Linked DNA regions of Stegostoma tigrinum. The protein of the gene in region 3 purifies or fractionates together with the protein of the main gene of each other region. This does not show direct contact. Links are inferred from orthologs where the notes say so. Each region holds a gene or a part of one and is shown on either strand. Other genes may lie near its edges.

What was found.
Region 1: the proteins of trim25 (region 3) and g3bp2a purify together in Homo sapiens (affinity purification with mass spectrometry; 4 studies listed by BioGRID and IntAct, counting the BioPlex papers as one, with this or other methods). This does not show direct contact. The link is inferred for Stegostoma tigrinum from reciprocal best matches to the Homo sapiens genes TRIM25 and G3BP2.
Region 2: the proteins of trim25 (region 3) and g3bp1 purify together in Homo sapiens (affinity purification with mass spectrometry; 4 studies listed by BioGRID and IntAct, with this or other methods). This does not show direct contact. The link is inferred for Stegostoma tigrinum from reciprocal best matches to the Homo sapiens genes TRIM25 and G3BP1.

What each region holds. Positions count from the first base shown.
Region 1 is NC_081354.1:2,800,219-2,807,217, reverse strand, and holds the start of g3bp2a (ras GTPase-activating protein-binding protein 2), read right to left. Parts: upstream 3,074-6,999; 5' UTR 2,930-3,073; intron 29-2,929; 5' UTR 5-28; coding exon 1-4.
Region 2 is NC_081366.1:16,882,486-16,889,914, reverse strand, and holds the start of g3bp1 (ras GTPase-activating protein-binding protein 1), read right to left. Parts: upstream 3,013-7,429; 5' UTR 2,897-3,012; exon of another isoform or gene 2,666-2,896; intron 1,073-2,665; 5' UTR 1,051-1,072; coding exon 956-1,050; intron 1-955. UniProt on the Homo sapiens protein: Protein involved in various processes, such as stress granule formation and innate immunity. Plays an essential role in stress granule formation.
Region 3 is NC_081375.1:3,342,164-3,349,105, forward strand, and holds the start of trim25 (E3 ubiquitin/ISG15 ligase TRIM25), read left to right. Parts: upstream 1-3,878; 5' UTR 3,879-4,000; coding exon 4,001-4,606; intron 4,607-6,942.

The DNA.
Region 1 (6,999 bases), on a different chromosome or scaffold from region 3:
CCATTTCTTTGGTACACAATGTTGCTTGCTGAAGGAGAATGGAAAGTGTTAGTTACTTACTCTGTTAGATAAACGCTAGTGTCAAATAAGCATAAATAATCACCACTACATTCTCCCACTCTCACCTGACAACCAGCCCAAAAAGACATTAGAAATGAAGTAAGCGAGCAAGTACGATACAAATGTCCAACTTGTATCATGTAAACCACGAAACGGGAACATAAATGTCACAACTATGCAGCCCCCAGCAACACTGCAATTTCTCAAAGGGCAAATCTAAATTAGATTGTTTTTGAATTCAAAAACAATCTAATATGAATTAATGAACAATGTGGTACTGCGGTCATACACAATTTTGAATCATTTCAGTTATGAAACTTTGAATTATAGGTCCTCTGAGCTAAATATTTGTATTTTAGCAACAACCTTTCTCACACTTTATTCCAACACCTTCCATGACTTCAGTCCATAAAGATAGCTTTTTGACAACATGGCAACATGTACCGTCAAAACGAAATGATGCAAGGAAAGAGCAGATTATATCAACTGAACCATAGAGCAGGACATCAATTTTGAACGTGTCCACGTACGTGAAGAATATACATACATGAATATGCTTGCGTTTTACCTCCTGACTAACAACACACCAAGAGGGTGCACATCGGTGATCTCATTCTGTCAGTGAAGCCCCGATCTTAAAGCTAGGGTTTAAAACACACTCTCAGAAAACAGTTAGTAAACTTGAACAAAATGTGGTCAACTCATTGGAAGCCTTGGTCAAACATGTTACCCGATCATTTTGAAATAAGTTGCAATGTTTAAATTATTTTAATCTGATTACTGAGTAGGGTTGAGTATAGCTCCATTACTTCAGCAAATAAATTTACCCTTGCTTATAAATTTATGGAAATAATAACATCACTAAGAGCTTTTTTACTTTTCACTGCTGTGACTGAGAGAGAAGTGAGTACCTCAGCATTAGCAGTCTGAAGGAGAGAAACATTCAACATTTGTGTTGCATTGTAAATGTAGTAAAACATTTACATCCAGTGCAAAGGACCTTATTCAGATAATAAAAACTGGTCAAAAACAGGATTTTTTTCCTGGATATACCATCCAAGGAAATGCATTGCTGTTTCACACTAATCTCCCACACAACTTTTATTTCATAAGAACTAGGTGCAGGAGTAGGCCATTTAGCCTCTCGAGCCTGTTCTGCCAATCAATACAATCATGGCTGAGCTCATCTTGGCCTTCCCTGCCAGCTCTATGTAACTCTTTGACCCAGTACTAATCAAAAATCTGTCCATCTCCTCAAAACTATTTAGTGTCCTGGTGTCCACCTCACTCTGGAGTAGTGAATTCCACAGATTTGACAGTTCTTTGGGGAAGTAATTTCTCATCTGTTTTAAATGTGCCACCCTGTAGTCTCAAAACTATGACCTCTCATTCTCCAATGCACCACAACATCTGCTCTGTCTACTTTGTCAACCCACTGTAGCATCTTGTAAACCTCAATTAGATCATCTCTCATTCTTCTAAACTGCTCAATCTCTCTCCATAAAACAAACCCCTCATTTTTGGAATTAATGTGGTGAGCCTCCTACAAACAGCCTCTAATGAAATTACACCCTTCAAAGTATATAAAGAATCAGACTTTATGCAAGGCACCATTTTCCTTTAGGAGTTCTCCAATTAATTACATTTTGGCATTCTTTCCTTATGGCCTGATAATTTCTTGTTCCCTTTCCATGCCTCCATCAAAGCTTGTAAAGCACACTATTGTAATTATATGAGCCTCCAGCACTTCCTCTGGCAGCTCATGGCAAACGGGGTTAGATTAATTTAGGAAACTTGGTCAGCATGGACGAACTGGACTGAAGGGTCTGTTTCCATGCTGTATATCTCTATGACTCTACGAACATTGAAATAGGAGGCGGCCACTTGGCCTCTCAACAGGATTGTGGCAGATCTGATTACTCCACATTCCTGCCTAAACCTAAAAACCTTTTACTCCTCACCTTTCCACCTCTGCCTTCAATGTATTTAAAGGCTGTTTCCACCACCACCTCAGGAAGGGAGTTACTCTGACAGCTACACCTTGTCTGTTTTAAATGACAAGTTGTTCATTTTCAATCTAGTTTAGGATAATCCCAGAAAAGGAAACATCCTTTCCACATACAATCCGCCAAGACCGTTCAGGATCTCCGGGGGGGGGGGGGGGGGGGGGGGGGGGGTACTGGAGAGTCTGGGAGGGGGGGGGGTAAGACTGGAGAGGAGGGCAGGAATGGAGTGGGGGTTGTGAAGTGGGGGTGGAGGTGTGAAAGGGGGGTGGGGAGTGTTGGGTGTGGGGGATGTAGAGTGGGGGGGGTGAAGCGGAGGGGGGGTTGAAGCTGGGGGGCGGGGGGGGGTTGAAGCTGGGGGGGGTTGAAGCTGGGGGGGGTTGAAGCTGGGGGGGGTGGGGGGGGGGTTGAAGCTGGGGGGGGTTGAAGCTGGGGGGTGGGGGGGGTTGAAGCTGGGGGGGGGTTGAAGCTGGGGGGGGTGGGGGGGGGGTTGAAGCAGGGGGGAGGGGGGGATGAAGCGGGGGGGGTGGGGGGGGGATGAAGCGGGGGGGTGGGGGGGATGAAGCTGGGGGGTGGGGGGGGTTGAAGCTGGGGGGGGGTTGAAGCTGGGGGGGGTGGGGGGGGGATGAAGCGGGGGGGGTGGGGGGGATGAAGCGGGGGGGTGGGGGGGATGAAGCGGGGGGGGTGGGGGGGTTGAAGCGGGGGGGGTGGGGGGGGTTGAAGCTGGGGGGGGGGGGAGGAACGGATGATTCGGGGGAAGGTTTTGCTCAGGCTCTGGGCGCTAGATCAATGCAGGGAGCGGGCAGATTCGCGCAGAGGCGAGAGCCGGAAGGTTCCGGCCGGTTTCCCTCCCGCGCCCCCGGTACCTGCGGCTCCGGCTCCGGGAAAGAGGCGGCGGCTCCGAGCTCGGCCGTTACCGCGTGTGCGTCAGGAGGAAGTGTCCGGCAGCGCGGCGTCACACTCTAACCGGTCCCCCCCACCCCCAAACCGCCTCCTCCAAAGTCACATTCTATCCGCTTCCCCGCAGCGTCACACTACATCCGGTCCCCTCTGCCCCTTGCTCCCGCGTGTCTCACACGATGGGATTTCCTCTTACACCCCCCGGGTGTCACACTCTAACCAGCCCCCCCGGGTGTCACACTCTAACCTGCCCCCGGATGTCACACTCTAACCAGCCCCCGGGTGTCACACTCTAACCAGCCCCCGGGTGTCACACTCTAACCGGCCCCCGGGTGTCACACTCTAACCAGCCCCCCCGGGTGCCACACTCTAACCTGCCCCCCCGGGTGTCACACTCTAACCAGCCCCCGGGTGTCACACTCTAACCTGCCCCCGGATGTCACACTCTAACTAGCCCCCCCCGGGTGCCACACTCTAACCTGCCCCCGGATGTCACACTCTAACCAGCCCCCGGGTGTCACACTCTAACCTGCCCCCGGATGTCACACTCTAACCAGCCCCCCCCCGGGTGTCACACTCTAACCTGCCCCCCCCCGGGTGTCACACTCTAACCTGCCCCCCCCGGGTGCCACACTCTAACCTGCCCCCGGATGTCACACTCTAACCTGCCCCCCCCCGGGTGTCACACTCTAACCTGCCCCCGGATGTCACACTCTAACCTGCCCCCGGGTGTCACACTCTAACCTGCCCCCCCCCGGGTGTCACACTCTAACCTGCCCCCCCCGGGTGCCACACTCTAACCTGCCCCCGGATGTCACACTCTAACCTGCCCCCGGATGTCACACTCTAACCTGCCCCCCCCCCGGGTGTCACACTCTAACCTGCCCCCCCCCCCGGTAAATGTTTAACCTGAGGGGCGGGGCTGAGCGGTTTTGTCGGTTTCAGGCCCTTCGGCACTGGGATAGTTTTAGTGTGAGGCGGGGACGGAGCCAGGAGGATCCTTTTGGCCCCTTTATGGGAGGCGCAGTTCTGGACCAAACAAAAAAAATCAGAGGTTGGCGGAGGCCGCTCGGCCCATTGAGCCTGTCCCGCCATTCAGTGAGCTCACTTACCCCAGGCCCCTGCTGACTCCACCTTCAACATCGTTCTCCCTCCGGGCTGATCGCAAACCTTCACCTGTGGAGGTGCTCGTGTTGGACTGGCCGAGGCCAGAAGCCACGTGACACCAGCTTGGAGCCCAACAGATTTATTTCGTGTTCTGGAGTTAACCTGTTTAACTATAACCTGGTGTCGTGTAACTTCTGACCAAAACTGTGTGACCTTGACCGCGGTCCCGCCCTCTGGCCCACAATCAGTGAGGTTGGTAACTGCACCTCCTCCACAATAACACTCCACTCAATATCACTCAAATTCTTTGAAGAGGTAACAAGTAGGTTAGACCAGGGAAACCCAGTGGATGTTATCTATCTAGACTTCCAAAAGGCCTTTGATAAGGTGCCTGACGGGAGGCTGCTGAGTAAGGTGAGGGCCCATGGTGTTCGAGGTGAGCTGCTGGCTTGGATTGACGATTGGCTGTCTGACAGAAGGCAGAGTTGGGATAAAAGTCTCTTTTTTGGAATGGCAACCAGTGACAAGTGATGTCCCGCAGAGTTCAGTGTTGGGGCCACAGCTGTTCACTTTATATATTAATGATCTGGATGAAGGGTCTGGGGGCATTCTGGCGAAGTTTGCTGATGATACAAAGATAGGTGGACAGGCAGATAGTACTGAGGAGGTGGGGAGGCTGCAGAAAGATTTAGATAGTTTAGGAGAGTGGTCCCGGAAATGGCTGATGAAATTCAATGTGAGCAAATGTGAGATTTTACACTTTGGAAAAAAGAATACAGGCATGGACTATTTTCTAAACGGTGAGAAAATTCACAAAGCAGAAGTACAAAGGGATCTGGGAGTGTTGGTCCAGGATTCTATAAAAGTTAACTTGCAGGTAGAGTCCGTGATTAAGAAAGTGAATGTAGTGTTATCGTTTATCTCAAGAGGGTTGGAACATAAACGCTTAACTGGTCTTAACCCTGTACACCTACAGCTGCGTTGCAAATTTTGAACGAACACCATCTACAATTTTGCTGACAACACACCATAGTGGGATAGATATCTAACGAAGACGAATCAAAGTACAAAAGGACTTAGAGAGACTTTTATTTGATTGATTGATTTATTGTCACATGTACCAAAGTACACTGAAAAGTTCTAATTAAGACCGGTACAGGCAGATCACACCAAGCAAAGGATGTAGAGATTAACAAGACTTAGAGGCATACGGGCTACTTTATTTGAGTCGAAAGTCCATTCAACAGTCTGGTAAAGAAATAAGCTGTTTCTGAATCTGCTTCTGCGCGTGTTCAGGCTTCTGTATCTTCTGCCTGACAGAAGAGGCTGTAGGAGATCATTACTGGGCTGTGATGGGTCTTTGATGACGTTGGTCGCCTTTCTGCAGCAGTGAGCCGTGTAAATGGATGGAAGATTGGCTTCCATGATGGGCTGAGCTGTGCACATCCACCTTCTGTAGTTTGTTATGGTCCTGGGTAGAGCAGTTGCACCCAGACAAGATGCTTTCAGTGTCGCATCTGTAGAAGTTGGTGAGGGACATTATGGACATGTCAAATTTCCTGACCGCTTGTGGAAGAAGAGGCGTTCTTGTGCCTTTCTGACTGTCGCATCTATGTAGGAGGTCCAGGACAGGTTATCGGTTTTTGTGACTCCGAGGAACTTCTCGTTCCTTCTTTCTGAAGTTGATGATCAGTTCTTTAGTTTTGCAGACATTGAAAGACAGATTGTTTTCATCACGTCACCAAGAGGTCTGTCTCCCTTCTGCATTTTGACTCGTTGTTGTTAGATATGCGTCCCAGTTGACTGATGTCATCAGTGAACTTGTAGAAGGGAATTTTATTTGGAATTTGGCAACACAGTTGTAGGTGTACAGGGAGCACAGTAGAGGGCTGAGGCTGCATCCCGGGTCGGGGCGGGGGTGTGGGGCTTCAGTGTTGAGTGTTATTGTAGATAAGAGCTTATACATTTTAAAACAAAATATGAAGAAGTTGTTCATATTAGTTGCAGTTAGAATGCAGCTGGGTATCATTGAAATTGCATTGTGATTTGCAAAATGTAGAACACATAATAAGCCATCCAATATTCATATTAGGCAGAAATTCCAGCTGATAGTAACAGTGATAAAGTTCTACTCAAAAGAAATGGACTCATTTAGTCATTTGAGAAAATGAAGGTTGTCTAGAACTCTGATCTCCACATTCCCCAAAATTGCCATTTGGTGTATATCATAAACATTTCGGCACATATATCTGGATCATAAAGAAAATTTCTTTGTACTGCCAAGCGAAATAAAAAAGCCAGAATTGGAAATAAGTGAAAGAAACAGGGTGAGTGAGAGAAAGAGAAAGGGAGATAGAGAAAGGTGAAAGATAGGGTGTATTCAGGCATTCATTTTCTGGAAAACCAATAAAAATACTGAAATATATTAGAAACTATACTTTCATAGTAGAAAAATGACCTGTTTCCATGACCTATTCAGGTAACAATGTGCTGGGCCACAAAACTGGTTACTTCAATTCTTTTTAAACACCTGTTTCAAAGGCCATGCATGTTTCTTGGAAATGAGGAAAGGCATCAATTGTGACAGCGTGTGTAGAAAAGAATCTTGTTTTCAGACGGTATCGTTCCCTAATTTTTGAAGAGGAACGTTATTATATCATTAACAAAATTAAAATGAGTACTGTCAAGATCTATGTTCCATTATCATAGATGACAGCGTGTAAATTGGACTTTGTAGCTTCAAAAAATCCTTCCAAAAAGGGGGTCAATTTATTTCACAAGAATAAAATGTGACCTGCCGGTCTTGCAACAGGAGGATCTATTTCTCTTCGTTGAATGCTATGGGTAAAGAGGGTGGTAGTTGATGGGAAATGTTCATCCTGGAGACCAGTTACTAGTGGTGTACTGCAAGGGTCGGTGTTGGGTCCAC
Region 2 (7,429 bases), on a different chromosome or scaffold from region 3:
CATCTGTGTGACTACAAACACCAGCATCAGTATTTTGGCGCACCAGTAATCCTAGTCAAAAATGGGTAGCACTGCCTACCAGTAATTTGTCATGTGAAAGATGGCAGCACATTTTAGAACTTATACCATCGATGAGGTACCAGAATCCATATTACAGCAACTCATTACAGAATTGTGTTTTTGGTGTCTCTACATGCAATGGAAATAACACCACTCAATTGAAATGAGTATATAAAAAAAAGTATCATTACTAGCTCAACTGACAGATGGATTAGCCAGTATCAAAAAGGCATACATTTCCTTACAAGTTTAAAAGTAAATATTTTACAATGCAATATTTTAATTTGAAATTAGTATGCAATTCGACTCAGTTGTTACTTATAAGAAAACATCAGGTAATCAACTATACCACACAGAAAATTTGCATCAATAATGATTATACTGGACTAACGCTTATACATTACACTACCAGTTAGAAAAACCTGATGAAAAGTAATAGCGACAAGTCTATTAACACCTTTTAAGTCCTTTGCAAAATATCACATCATAGGTTTGTTACCTTGAGTTAGTACTTTCTATAAAGTTTAATTCTGCGCAGACCTGACAGATTAGCAAAGCAATAGCTATCAACCTACAGCAAGGTGGTGCCTGAGAACTAACATACACTATTAATTCAAATTTAAGCTTCAGAATGAAAGAACTATGGCCCAAATGAACAAGTATTAGTTACAGTAACTGATACACTTTGGAGTTGGTAAAGACAGTTTATACAAAACATTGAATGCAGTCTGAAAATGGCCATTCACTTGCACATCTTTTTAAGTCTCTTGCTAATAACTTCCAAACCAATATGACCAAGCAATCCTATCTTTAGTTGATCCAGTCACACAGATTGCGCCTTGCCTTCGATCATACAAAAAAGTAGACAGCTGCAGGAAAAAAAATGCCATCTTACCTGTGTAAATAGTCAGGGGCCTGGTTCAACAGTGTGTAATACTGCCTCACAAATTCCCGCCCTACAAGCAGGGGACTTGGCTTCTCCATCACCATCTCTTTGGTCAACTGAGAATTGCTAGACAAGAAAAAAAAAACAAAGTAAACAGGACTATCTTATTATGACTTTGCAAGCTGTCCAGTTCAACTAAGGGGAGTTCAAATGGATCAAGTCAAAACTATCCAAGTACATATTTAAGTTTTGAGGGAAGAATTCAGAAGATTTAACTCAAAAGTCACAAGGGTTGTAAAACATGGTATACTGGTGTTTTATTTGGGTTCTTATAGTGAACCAAGTTTTGTTCTGCATTTGACTATGTCAGGTTGATGTGCTCAACATATCCTGAGCATCCCTTACCCTTTTGCTTACAGCATTCTTACCTGGGTAAACACTTTAAAAAAGTTAAAACTGATACAGCCAGATTAGTAATAAACATCATAACTCTCCAATATGGAGTTCCAATTTTGAAAAATAATTGCAAGTTATGTGGCTCCATCAGAAAATAAAAAGACCAGAGCTCAAAACCGTTGCAGCACTCTGATTTTCTTTTGTTTTCCTCACGCCACAGATTAATTACTGACAGACAGGAACAGGTCTTCTCAGTCTCTAACATCACCACGGACAATCCCACAAATACTAAAAGGGATTGGGGACAGTGGATTTCTAACGTCTTGCGTCAAATTACAACTATCAAACGTTGCAATTTTGCGCTTCACGCACAATCAAAATTAACTTAATTTATAAAGGATTACAATGAGGGCGCCCTCCGCCTGAACCTGCAATCCAAGGAAATGTAAACGGAGAAATTTGGCCACTCCATGTAACAAGGGCGAGGCATTTTCTTGAAAACAAAAGCTAAATGGCAAAAAGAACGGTATTGTTCTCCCCCTCTAATTGATCCACTATTTGCGTAGGATTCGCTCGCACAAGTCGCACGTTTAAGAGAAGACTCCAGCACACTTGAAATAATCTTACGTGACAGGAGAGAAGAGACACGAGTGTTCTCAAATGGGGGGGGGGGGGGGGGGTGTGGATTCGAGCCAGACAATGCCTGGCCCCTGAACACCCTTCCCGCCCTGTGGGATGGACACAAAATATGATCGGATTGCACAGGGCAGGCAGAGGCAAGGCTGAGCTCCATAACACGTGGAACTGTAGGGGACAAGTAAAAGCCTCGAGGTGTTTGGGGGGGGGCGGCTTTAACGACGCGGGAATATCGGATGGCAACCACGTGCGAGCGGGTGGGGGGGTTGATCAAGACACAGAGGCCACTTCGTCGACGATAGACTGAAGGAGGGTCCCAATCCCTTTCTGTTTACCCCCCACTCCCTTACCCGCCACCCGAGACGGGAACAAAGGCCAGACCTACCCCCACCCCCCTCCTTTCTGCCCCCCCCCCCCATCCCCGACAACGACACTACAGGCCACGACCAGACCAACAACCTCTCTCTCCCCCACCCTAAGTCGGCGAGCGGAGTCAGAGAGAAAGAGAGCGCTAGGAGGAAATCACCGGGTCTCACTCTGCAACCCACCCCCCCAACCCTCGTGTCGCTGCCGCCGCGGCCTGGTGTTTAAAATGGCGGCGGCCTGGCCTTCCCTTCCCTCACTGTCTTTTCTCTTCCACACTCTCTCCCACCCCAGGCCCCGCCACCAGCCGCTCAACTCGCTCACCGCAGGAATCCGGGGAGGAGAGAGAGTGTGAGTGAGAAGCGTAGGGGAGGCCGAACCGGGAGCTTCGATCAGGAACAGGAAGGCTGAAACCCTCCTCACCTTTCTCAATCCGCGCAATTGAAATAATTTCTTCTGGGGTTGAAGGGGCGGGGCCGGAATATTTTGGGTGGAAAAAAAATTACAAAAGTACCCGCACCGCCGAGGAGAGCGCCGGCTGAATCACACACCAACCTGCTGGGCAGAGAAGGAAGGTCTGATTGACAGCACCGACCATCAATGGGGGTGGGGGATCCACCCGCCAAGCCAATGGGGTGGTCGGTAAGGGGGCGGGGCCTGCGCCGCCAGCACGTTCGGTGGAGCGGCACCGGCTGCAGGAGCCGCGGGGAGACCCCGTAGAGGGGGCGGTGCGACCCGCCGCACTGACCAATCGCATTGGGAGGTGGTCCTGATCGACAGCTCTGAGGGCGGGTTCTGCCTGTGAAGTCGGTCCCTGCGAAAGGACAGGGTGCAAACCTGGAGGAGTAAGGGGCCAGAGTGGGAATAAAGATAGGGAGCGCTTGGAGCCCCAATGAGTAACATATCTCCCCCACCCCACCAACAGTCGGCGGTGAAATTTGAATTCTGCAAAATCCTGGAATTGTGTTCTCATTCTTCATATTAACATGCATTTTGAAATATATTCAATATAATAATTTAAAGTTTAAAATATTTTCTAAAATTTATTTTTCAATACAGAAAGATCTGTGAAGGCTTTTGAATTGAATGTAGTTATAAAGTCGGGTTGAAGCAGGCGTTAAACTTCACACCCCCCGCCTCCCCAAAAGAAGCCTGCTGTTTGTTTTACATTTCTTAGCTGAGGTGGTTCGTTATGTCACAAAAGCGGTTCATCAGGCAAGCACGGCGTCACCGATGAATCATTTCACACGTAACTCTCAATATTGGACGATTTAACATTGCTGTGTCCGGAGAGTCAAACGTATTTGCTACGATCTCTTCACGTGGGTTAGAAGAGTGATTGATTCTAGAAGGTAATGGGTCATAACCAGTTAGTTTGTTGCCCTGGTGTAGCCTAACATACCGTCTCTGCCAGTTTCAGGTGGGCTCCATGTGTTCGCTTGCTTTAATTTTGTTTTTAGTCTTGAAGGTACTTGCTACTGCTCCCTCCCATTGCTGGCTTTCAGTCCACTGGGTGCTCTATTCATGTTGATCTTTTGTTTAAAAATGGCCATTCTGCCTTTCCAGCATGCTCTCCCATCATTATGATCATTACTGATTTATTACTTCAAATAAACCTTTCTCCATTCTCTCCATATTCTTTAACTTGATTTGTATCCAGAAATCTAGTTAGCTCTTTTGTTTAAGTATAATGAACTACAGACCTTCCACAGTCCCATGACTTAGAAAATTCAAATGTTTAATTTGAAGATTGAGTGAAACTTATCAAATCATCCACGAAATCAAATCATTCCATGAAATTTTGGAATTAGATGCTCAAAAATAATAATTGCTATGATTGTAATAAAAACTAGAGTTATTTTAATCTACATGTGACTTCAGCACCACAGGAATATGGATTGACTGTTAATTGCCCTCTGAAGTGGCTTGCCAATCCACTTGAGAATTTGGAGTGACAGCAACACCCACATCACATGAAAAAATAAAGTATTTCTTTCACCTTTCTTCAGTTTTCTCTGTTCCAGAGTAAAGAGTCCCAACTAAACCATCTTTCCAAAATAACAAAGTGTGGAACTGGATGAACACAGCAGTCCAAGCAGCATCTTAGGAGCACAAAAGCTGACGTTTCGGGCCTAGACCCTTCATCAGAAAAGGGGAGGGGGAGAAGGTTCTGAAAAAAATAGGGAGAGAGGGGAAGGCAGATATAAGATGGATAGAGGAAAAGATAGGTGGAGAGGAGACAGACAAGTTAAAGGGGTGGGGATGGAGCCTGTAGAGGTGAGTGTAGGTGGGGAGGTAGGGAGGGGATAGGTCAGTCCAGGGAGGATGGACAGGTCAAGGGGGTGGGAAGAAGCTAGTAGGTAGGAGATGGGGCTGGGTATTTGGTTCTTTTGCCATTCACCATAAATTTGTCTCCCCTGTTCTCAAACTTCACTGTCCACTCTGTCCAGACCGTTGTGATTTTGAAAAGCTCCAAACATTGTTCACCTAAGGAAAATTTCTCCATCCATCCAAGTGACTGAAATCCGATCCCTGAAACATAATTTTCTTTCTTAAACCGTCTCTGAAATACTCATCTTTATTTATATTCCTGACCTTTCTTCACCTTCATATGATTTACCTCTGAATCATTTACCTTTCTTTATTATCTCTAATTTAGGAGAATAAGTTGACAAACAATAATCTTAGAAGCCCATCAGCTCCAACACGACCTTATAACACAGTGTCCAGAATTGGACAAAATACTTGAGGATGAGCAATTTTTTTCAGAAATATTCATCATAACTTCCTTCCAAATGAATGGATATGGAGAAAATGTTTCCACTCATAGGAGTGACATAAAGACACTAGAACAACGTCAGAGTGAACTGAGGTGAGGAGGAATTTCTTCAGCCAGAGCATGGCTAATCTGTGAAACCCATTGCCGCACAGGGCTGTGGAGGCCACTCATTGAGTGTATTTAAGGCAGCCATAGATAGGTTCCTGGTTGGTAAGAGAATCAAGGGTTACAGGGAGAATATGTATGAATGGAATTGAGAAACATTCCAGCCATAAACAAATGCTGGAGCAGAATTAATGGGCTGATAGGTCTAATTATGCTGTAATATCTTATGGTCTTATCATCTCTTTGCCTTATTAAGAACAGCAACAATTTTCTAAATACTTTAGCTGTGGCCTAATTCTTGTTTTATAAAGAACAGGCCCCATATGGAAAGATTGTTTAGATAGGATTCTTTACTCTGGAACAATCAATACTCTCGTGGTAGTCAACTTATCACCAATTCTTTTTTTACCAAAGTAAGTGTGCAATAAAATCCCTCAAATAATAAAATTTCTTTTTATGTTCGATGTCTATCCATGTTAATGCCTGAACATTTTGATGTACATCAGTCTTTTCTATTGTAATAAAAACAGAAAATGGTAGAAATACACAGCAGGTCAGACATGAAATAGGATAGGAAAACAGAGTTAAGAGAAATTTTATTCCTCAATTTAGATGGGTTGGGGCAAGGTGAAATGTAGTGATTTTGATTTTGCCAGACTATATTGCTGCCACAGTGGGTTTTGCCATGGTTAATGGAAACCCATTTGGTTCTGGAGAGAAACATATTTTCCAGGATTTGGGAAGCTGACCGGAGGAACAGGCAATTTTAAGCAGTCATTCAGGATGGAATTTAAACTTGTCATTTTTCCATCTGAATAAATGTTTAATTACTGCAGCTGGTCTATCAGTTCTACCTAGCAACCCTTGGCAGAAAGTTCTTGTTATGATACAGCTTTTCTCAACCTTTGAAGATTTTAAATTGGAAAGACATCTTGGGTGTGTTTGACAGAAAACTATATTGGAAGATGAAAGTAGGAGGAGATGAAAGTACAGCATTGAGTGTTCACTTCCTCATTGATAAGCACCCAGGAAAGCAGATTGATGTCATGACTAAACAATCCCTTCAGAATTGTGTGTGTCCAGGGATGATCTGATGGAATATGAATGTTGTTATTGCAAATTTGAATAAAGGAACCTGAATTTGACCCTAACAGGGAAGGGAAGAGTGAGAGCACAAATGTGGGATTGTGGAATGAACTTAATAGAGGGCCTCTTTCACATATAGTGAAAGGGAATCCTTGTTAGATGAGAAAGGAAGCCATATCAGCAGGATTGGATGTAATTTGGTATCAGCAGAACAAATGCAATGGAGTCAGAAAAACTAAGAAAATTAAATAGAGTTCTTAAAGGAACCAGGGTGAACTAGTGGAGGAAGTATAATCAAGCTAGCTATAACAGCCAGCAAAAACGACCAAAGAACTATGAATGCTAGAAATCAGAAAGCCACCATCCAAGCGGATAGAGTTGTTAAGAAGGTGTATGTTGTGGTAGCTTTCATTAATAGAGGGATGGAGTTCAAGAGCCGTGAAGTTATGCTCCAGTTATACAAAAGCATGTTCGGCCACACCTAGAGTACAGTTCTGGTCGCCTCACTACAGGAAAGATGTTGGAAGCATTGGAAAAGGTGCAGAGGAGATTTACCAGGATGTTGCCCGTGGAATGGAGAGAAGGTCTTACGAGGAAAGGTTGAAAGAGCTAGGGCTTTTCTCTTTAGAACGGTGAAGGATGAGAGGTGACTTGAAAATGATCAGAGGTATAGATAGAGTGGACAGCCAGAGACAATTTACTTGGGTGGAGGTAGCTATTACGAGAGGGGATATTTTTATAGTGAGTGGAGGTAGACATAGGGGAGACATCACAGGTAGGTTCTTTACTCAGAGAGTGGTTAGGGCGTGGAGAGAGTAGTGGAGTCAGCCTCATTAGGGCCATGTAAGTAGCTATTTGAGAGGCATATGGATGATAGTATCATACAGGGGTGGAGGTTCGATAGACCTTAGGATTAGGTTAAAAGTTCAGCACATCGTGGGCCAAATGGCCTGTAATGTGCTGTATTGTTTTATGTTCTAAAACAGAAATTGCCAGCAAAACTCAGCAGGTGTGGCAACATCTGTGAAAACAAAGCAGAGTTAATGTTTTGGGTCCAGTGACCCTTCTTCCAAAGATGTACAAGTTTGGTGGATTGGCCATGCTAAATTGCTCAGTGT
Region 3 (6,942 bases):
CTGTCTGCTCCTTATTGCAAACAGTTTGACTTTTTTTTTGAGATGGTGCAAACTGTCCACATTCTGTTCTCCTAGTCCAAAAAGGTGGGAGATTCCAGAGGGACACATTGGCCAGGTATCTCCTTGTGGTTCACCAGGGACCCAATGGTCAGTCAGTGTATTACGGTTTACCCAAGGCCAAAATGGACTTGACCTGTGCTATCAATTTATGTGCCACCTTTCCAATGTGTTTTGATGCCAATCTGCTGGTTTAAGGTGTCCAAAGCAATAGATCAGTAAATCTGGATGCAAAATACCACAACAGACATTGTTGTTTGGAGTGTGCAGGTGCTAGAGGCTCAATTAAGATTTCAAGGAATTGGTCATTTTCAAGTTACAGTGAAGAGTAGTTAGCATTATCATGGGCAATGACCAACTCTACCAGAAGCTCAACATTGGACAAGAAATTAGTTTTTTGACAGAAGTAGACCAGATGCAGTTCCACAAATTATGTTTAAAAAAAGTGGTATTTTACAAAATTTGTGAAGGCCTCAATCAACAGTTACAGGTCTACAGTTTAGAGAAACAAACTGCTTTGATCCTACCTTGATAAAACTGATTAATTAGAAACGACTGCAATAAGTCTGTTCCAGCGTACAGGGATGGTGTGTCAGCAGAAAAATTATTGTTGATAATTTTAGATTTTGAATAAATTTAAGGAGCAAATACACAGATTTTTAATTAATAATAGGTTAAGGGTTATCAGGAGCAGTGGAGCTGAAGCTGACATGAGATCAGCCATGAATATATTGAAAGATGCGCAGGTCCAAGGGGCTGAATTGACGTAACAATGATTCAGAGTAAACCACAGTAATGTGTCATAATCTCCACCTGCTTTCATAACAAAATACCAGCTGATGTTCAGGAGTTCATCTCCTAATACATGCATTGTGTAATTTTTTGGGTGGTGCCAGTAATTGGTCACTTAGTGAGCTCACGCTGATCACAAATCACCTGAGGAGCTCCAGGAGCCAAGCAAGATTAATTTTTTTTTAATGTATTCTGCACTGAGAATGAATTTTGGTGCGAACTGATTTTGTTTGCTGCCATGTGTACCAAATGAATTAATGTTTGTAAGATAACCAAGTGTGGAGCTGGATGAACACAGCAGGCCAAGCAGCATCTCAGGAGCACAAAAGCTGATGTTTCGGGCCGAGACCCTTCATCAGAGAGGGGGATGGGGAGAGGGTGTCCCCGCCTCCCTAACCTGTTCTTCCTCTCACCTATCCCTTCCTCCCACCTCAAGCCGCACCTCCATTTCCTACCTACTAACCTCATCCCACCGCCTTGACCTGTCCGTCTTCCCTGGACTGACCTATCCCCTCCCTACCTATACTCTCCTCTCCACCTATCTTCTTTTCTCTCCATCTTCGGTCCGCCTCCCCCTCTCTCCCTATTTATTCCAGAACCCTCTCCCCATCCCCCTCTCTGATGAAGGGTCTAGGCCTGAAACGTCAGCTTTTGTGCTCCTGAGATGCCACTTGGCCTGCTGTGTTCATCCAGCCTCACACTTGGTTATCTTGGATTCTCCAGCATCTGCAGTTCCCATTATCTCTGAGTTAATGTTTGTGTTTGGTTTATTGTTGTCACATGAGACGGCGAAAAGCAGGAACAAAAACAGAAGTTTCTGGAAAAGCTCAGCCGGTCTGGCAGCATCTGTGAAGAAAATGTCAGACCTAATATTTTGGGTGCGGTGACCCTTCCTCAGAACTGTGAAAAGTGTTTCTTTGTGTGCTATACAGACAGATCAAAATTCTGAACATGTTGCACAGTCTGGAGGTGGAGACAGTGAGTTCTACACCAGCCTTGGTGAACAGCAGAGGTGCACAACACAGCTCCTCTCAGTCTCCATCTCAGGCAACCAGCTTGTAACCGATGTCCATTTCAAGCCCACCGACTCCCACAGCTACCTAGAATACACCTCCTCCCACCCACCCTCCTGCAAAAATTCCATCCCCTATTCCCAATTCCTCCGCCTCCGCCGCATCTGCTCCCACGATGAGGCATTCCACTCCCGCACATCCCAGATGTGCAAGTTCTTTAAGGACCGCAACTTTCCCCCCACAGTGGTCGAGAACGCCCTTGACCACATCTCCCGCATTTCCTGCAACACATCCCTCACACCCCGCCCCCGCCACAACCGCCCAAAGAGGATCCCCCTCGTTCTCACACACCACCCTACCAACCTCCGGATACAACGCATCATCCTCCGACACTTCCGCCATTTACAATCCGACCCCACCACCCAAGACATTTTTCCATCCCCACCCCTGTCTGCTTTCCGGAGAGACCACTCTCTCCGTGACTCCCTTGTTCGCTCCACACTGCCCTCCAACCCCACCACATCCAGCACTTTCCCCTGCAACCGCAGGAAATGCTACACTTGCCCGCACACCTGCTCCCTCACCCCTATCCCAGGCCCCAAGATGACTTTCCATATTAAGCAGAGGTTCACCTGCACATCTGCCAATGTGGTATACTGTATCCACTGTACCCGGTGTGGCTTCCTCTACATTGGGGAAACCAAGCGGAGGCTTGGGGACCGCTCCGCAGAACACCTCCGCTCGGTTCGCAATAAACAACTGCACCTCCCAGTCGCAAACCATTTCCACTCCCCCTCCCATTCTTTAGATGACATGTCCATCATGGGCCTCCTGCAGTGCCTCAATGATGCCACCCGAAGGTTGCAGGAACAGCAACTCAAATTCCGCTTGGGAACCCTGCAGCCCAATGGTATCAATGTGGACTTCACCAGCTTCAAAATCTCCCCTTCCCCCACCGCATCCCAAAACCAGCCCAGTTCATCCCCTCCCCCCACTGCACCACACAACCAGCCCAGCTCTTCCCCTCCACCCACTGCATCCCAAAACCAGTCCAGCCTGTCTCCGCCTCCCTAACCTGTTCTTCCTCTCACCCATCCCTTCCTCCCACCCCAAGCCGCACCTCCATCTCCTACCTACTAACCTCATCCCACCTCCTTGACCGGTCCGTCTTCCCTGGACTGACCTATCCCCTCCCTACCTCCCCACCTATACTCTCCTCTCCACCTATCTTCTTTTCTCTCCATCTTCAGTCCGCCTCCCCCTTCTCCCTATTTATTCCAGAACCCTCACCCCATCCCCCTCTCTGATGAAGGGTCTAGGCCCGAAACGTCAGCTTTTGTGCTCCCGGGATGCTGCTGGGCCTGCTGTGTTCATCCAGCCTCACATTTTATTATCCAAAGATTTATGCCTGACTAGAATGTAGCTGTACTTAATGCGGTATGAAACAAATCATCTTGTTAAGTAACTTCTGTTGAAAATACTGAGTAGTGGGGTATCTTTGATCATTGCATAGATCCTAGATAAAGAATCTGTGAAGGAGAAAACAGAGTTAGGGGTCACTGGACCGCAAACGTTAACTGTTTTCTCCTTCACAGATGCTGCCAGACCTGCTGAGCTTTTCCAGCAACTTCTGTTTTTGTTCCTCAAACAACTGTTTCCTTGTAATAAAACAAAGAACTACAAATGCTGGCAATCTGAAATTGCTGGCGAAACCCAGCAAGTCTGGCAGCATCTATGGGAAGAAAGTCAGTGACTCTTCATTAGAACTGACTGTGGTGCAGATATCATGAGCGATCTCCAGTGACACAGCAGTCTCACAGTCAAACCTCAATATTGCTGGAGGAATTCGGCAGATCTGGAAGCATCTTGGGAGAGAAAGTGTTTCAAATCCAACAGCCCTTCTTCTGGGATGGGGGTGAGGGAGGAGCTGTAGCACTTCCTGCGGGTGCAGGTGGGGGGTCGGGCAGGAAGGGATACACGGAGGGGGTGGGGCCAGGATGGGCGGAACGCCCAGGGGGCGGGGTCGGAGCCGTCACGTGCCCGCCGCCGCGGAAACCCGCCGCGGGTCACGTGCCCGCGGAAACCCCGCCACGGGTCACGTGCCCAGAGCTCGTGCCGCGTTGTCCGCAGCGGCGGCGATGGCGGTGGTGTCTGGGGAGACGGAGCGCCTGGAGGCTGAGCTGACGTGTGCCGTTTGCCTGGACCTGTTCCGGGAGCCGGTGACGGCGCCGTGCGGCCACAATTTCTGCCGGAGCTGCCTGGCGCAGTTCTGGGCCGGGGACCGGCACCACCTCCTCGGCTTCACCTGCCCGCAGTGCCGCCGTCACTTCTCCGAGAGGCCCGAGCTGCAGCCCAACCGTGTCCTGTGCGCCGTGGTCGAGGAGTTCGAGCGGAGCCGGGCCCAGGCCGAGCCCAAGACCCAGGTCGCTGAGGCCGAGCCGCCGCCTGCCGTGGCCTGCGATGCGTGTCCTCCCGGAGCCGGGGCCTTGGCGGTCCGCAGCTGCCTGACTTGCCTGGCCTCCTTCTGCGCTGAGCACCTGGAGCCGCACCAACAGAGCGCGGCCTTCCGCACCCACAACCTGCAGCCCCCGCTGGCTGACCTGGCCGAGCGCCTCTGCCCCAGCCATGGCAACCTGCTCGAATTCTACTGTCGCCCCCACAGCAGCTGCATCTGCGCCGCCTGCCTCCTGGATCACCGCGGCTGTGACACCCAGAGAATGGAGGAGGCCCGAAGGCAGCAGGAGGTGGGGTGGGGGGGGAGGGGTTAAACAAGGCGACACCTGGGGAGGTGGAGTGGCCAAGGGGACTGTGGGGTGAGGGGGGGCGAACAAGGGGGACTGTGGGGTCGCGGGGGGGGGGGGGGCGAACGAGGAGGACTGTGGGGTCGCGGGGGGGGGGGGCGAACGAGGGGGACTGTGGAGTGAGGGGGGGGCGAACGAGGGGGACTGTGGAGTCGCGGGGGGGGGGGCGAACGAGGGGGACTGTGGAGTGAGGGGGGGGCGAACGAGGGGGACTGTGGAGTGAGGGGGGGCGAACGAGGGGGACTGTGGAGTGAGGGGGGGGCGAACGAGGGGGACTGTGGAGTGAGGGGGGGCGAACGAGGGGGACTGTGGAGTGAGGGGGGGGCGAACGAGGGGGACTGTGGGGTGAGGGGGGGCGAACGAGGGGGACTGTGGGGTGAGGGGGGGCGAACGAGGGGGACTGTGGGGTGAGGGGGGGCGAACGAGGGGGACTGTGGGGTGAGGGGGGGCGAACGAGGGGGACTGTGGGGTGAGGGGGGGCGAACGAGGGGGACTGTGGGGTGAGGGGGGGCGAACGAGGGGGACTGTGGGGTGAGGGGGGGCGAACGAGGGGGACTGTGGGGTGAGGGGGGGCGAACGAGGGGGACTGTGGGGTGAGGGGGGGCGAACGAGGGGGACTGTGGGGTGAGGGGGGGCGAACGAGGGGGACTGTGGGGTGAGGGGGGGCGAACGAGGGGGACTGTGGGGTGAGGGGGGGCGAACGAGGGGGACTGTGGGGTGAGGGGGGGCGAACGAGGGGGACTGTGGGGTGAGGGGGGGCGAACGAGGGGGACTGTGGGGTGAGGGGGGGCGAACGAGGGGGACTGTGGGGTGAGGGGGGGCGAACGAGGGGGACTGTGGGGTGAGGGGGGGCGAACGAGGGGGACTGTGGGGTGGCGGGGGGCGAACGAGGGGGACTGTGGGGTGGCGGGGCGCGAACGAGGGGGACTGTGGGGTGGCGGGGCGGGGGGCGAACGAGGGGGACTGTGGGGTGGCGGGGCGGGGGGCGAACGAGGGGGACTGTGGGGTGGCGGGGCGGGGGGCGAACGAGGGGGACTGTGGGGTGGCGGGGCGGGGGGCGAACGAGGGGGACTGTGGGGTGAGGGGGGGCGAACGAGGGGGACTGTGGGGTCGCGGGGCGGGGGGCGAACGAGGGGGACTGTGGGGTGAGGGGGGGCGAACGAGGGGGACTGTGGAGTGAGGGGGGGCGAACGAGGGGGACTGTGGAGTGAGGGGGGGCGAACGAGGGGGACTGTGGGGTGAGGGGGGACGAACGAGGGGGACTGTGGGGTCGCGGGGCGGGGGACGAACGAGGGGGACTGTGGGGTGAGGGGGGACGAACGAGGGGGACTGTGGGGTGAGGGGGGACGAACGAGGAGGACTGTGGGGTGAGGGGGGACGAACGAGGAGGACTGTGGGGTGAGGGGGGACGAACGAGGAGGACTGTGGGGTGAGGGGGGACGAACGAGGGGGACTGTGGGGTGAGGGGGGACGAACGAGGAGGACTGTGGGATGAGGGGGGACGAACGAGGGGGACTGTGGGGTCGCGGGGCGGGGGGCGAACGAGGGGGACTGTGGGGTGAGGGGGGACGAACGAGGAGGACTGTGGGGTGAGGGGGGACGAACGAGGAGGACTGTGGGGTGAGGGGGGACGAACAAGGGGGACTGTGGGGTCGCGGGGGGGGGCGAACGAGGGGGACTGTGGAGTGAGGGGGGGCGAACGAGGGGGACTGTGGAGTGAGGGGGGGCGAACGAGGGGGACTGTGGAGTGAGGGGGGGCGAACGAGGGGGACTGTGGAGTGAGGGGGGGCGAACGAGGGGGACTGTGGGGTCGCGGGGCGGGGGGCGAACAAGGGGGACTGTGGGGTGAGGGGGGACGAACGAGGAGGACTGTGGGGTGAGGGGGGACGAACAAGGGGGACTGTGGGGTCGCGGGGGGGGCGAACGAGGGGGACTGTGGGGTGAGGGGGGGGCGAACGAGGGGGACTGTGGAGTGAGGGGGGGGGCGAACGAGGGGGACTGTGGGGTCGCGGGGGGGGGGGCGAACGAGGGGGACTGTGGGGTCGCGGGGGGGGCGAACGAGGGGGACTGTGGGGTCGCGGGGGGGGCGAACGAGGGGGACTGTGGGGTGAGGGGGGACGAACGAGGAGGACTGTGGGGTGAGGGGAGACGAACAAGGGGGACTGTGGGGTCGCGGGGCGGGGGGCGAACAAGGGGGACTGTGGGGTGAGGGGGGACGAACGAGGAGGACTGTGGGGTGAGGGGGGACGAACAAGGGGGACTGTGGGGTCGCGGGGGGG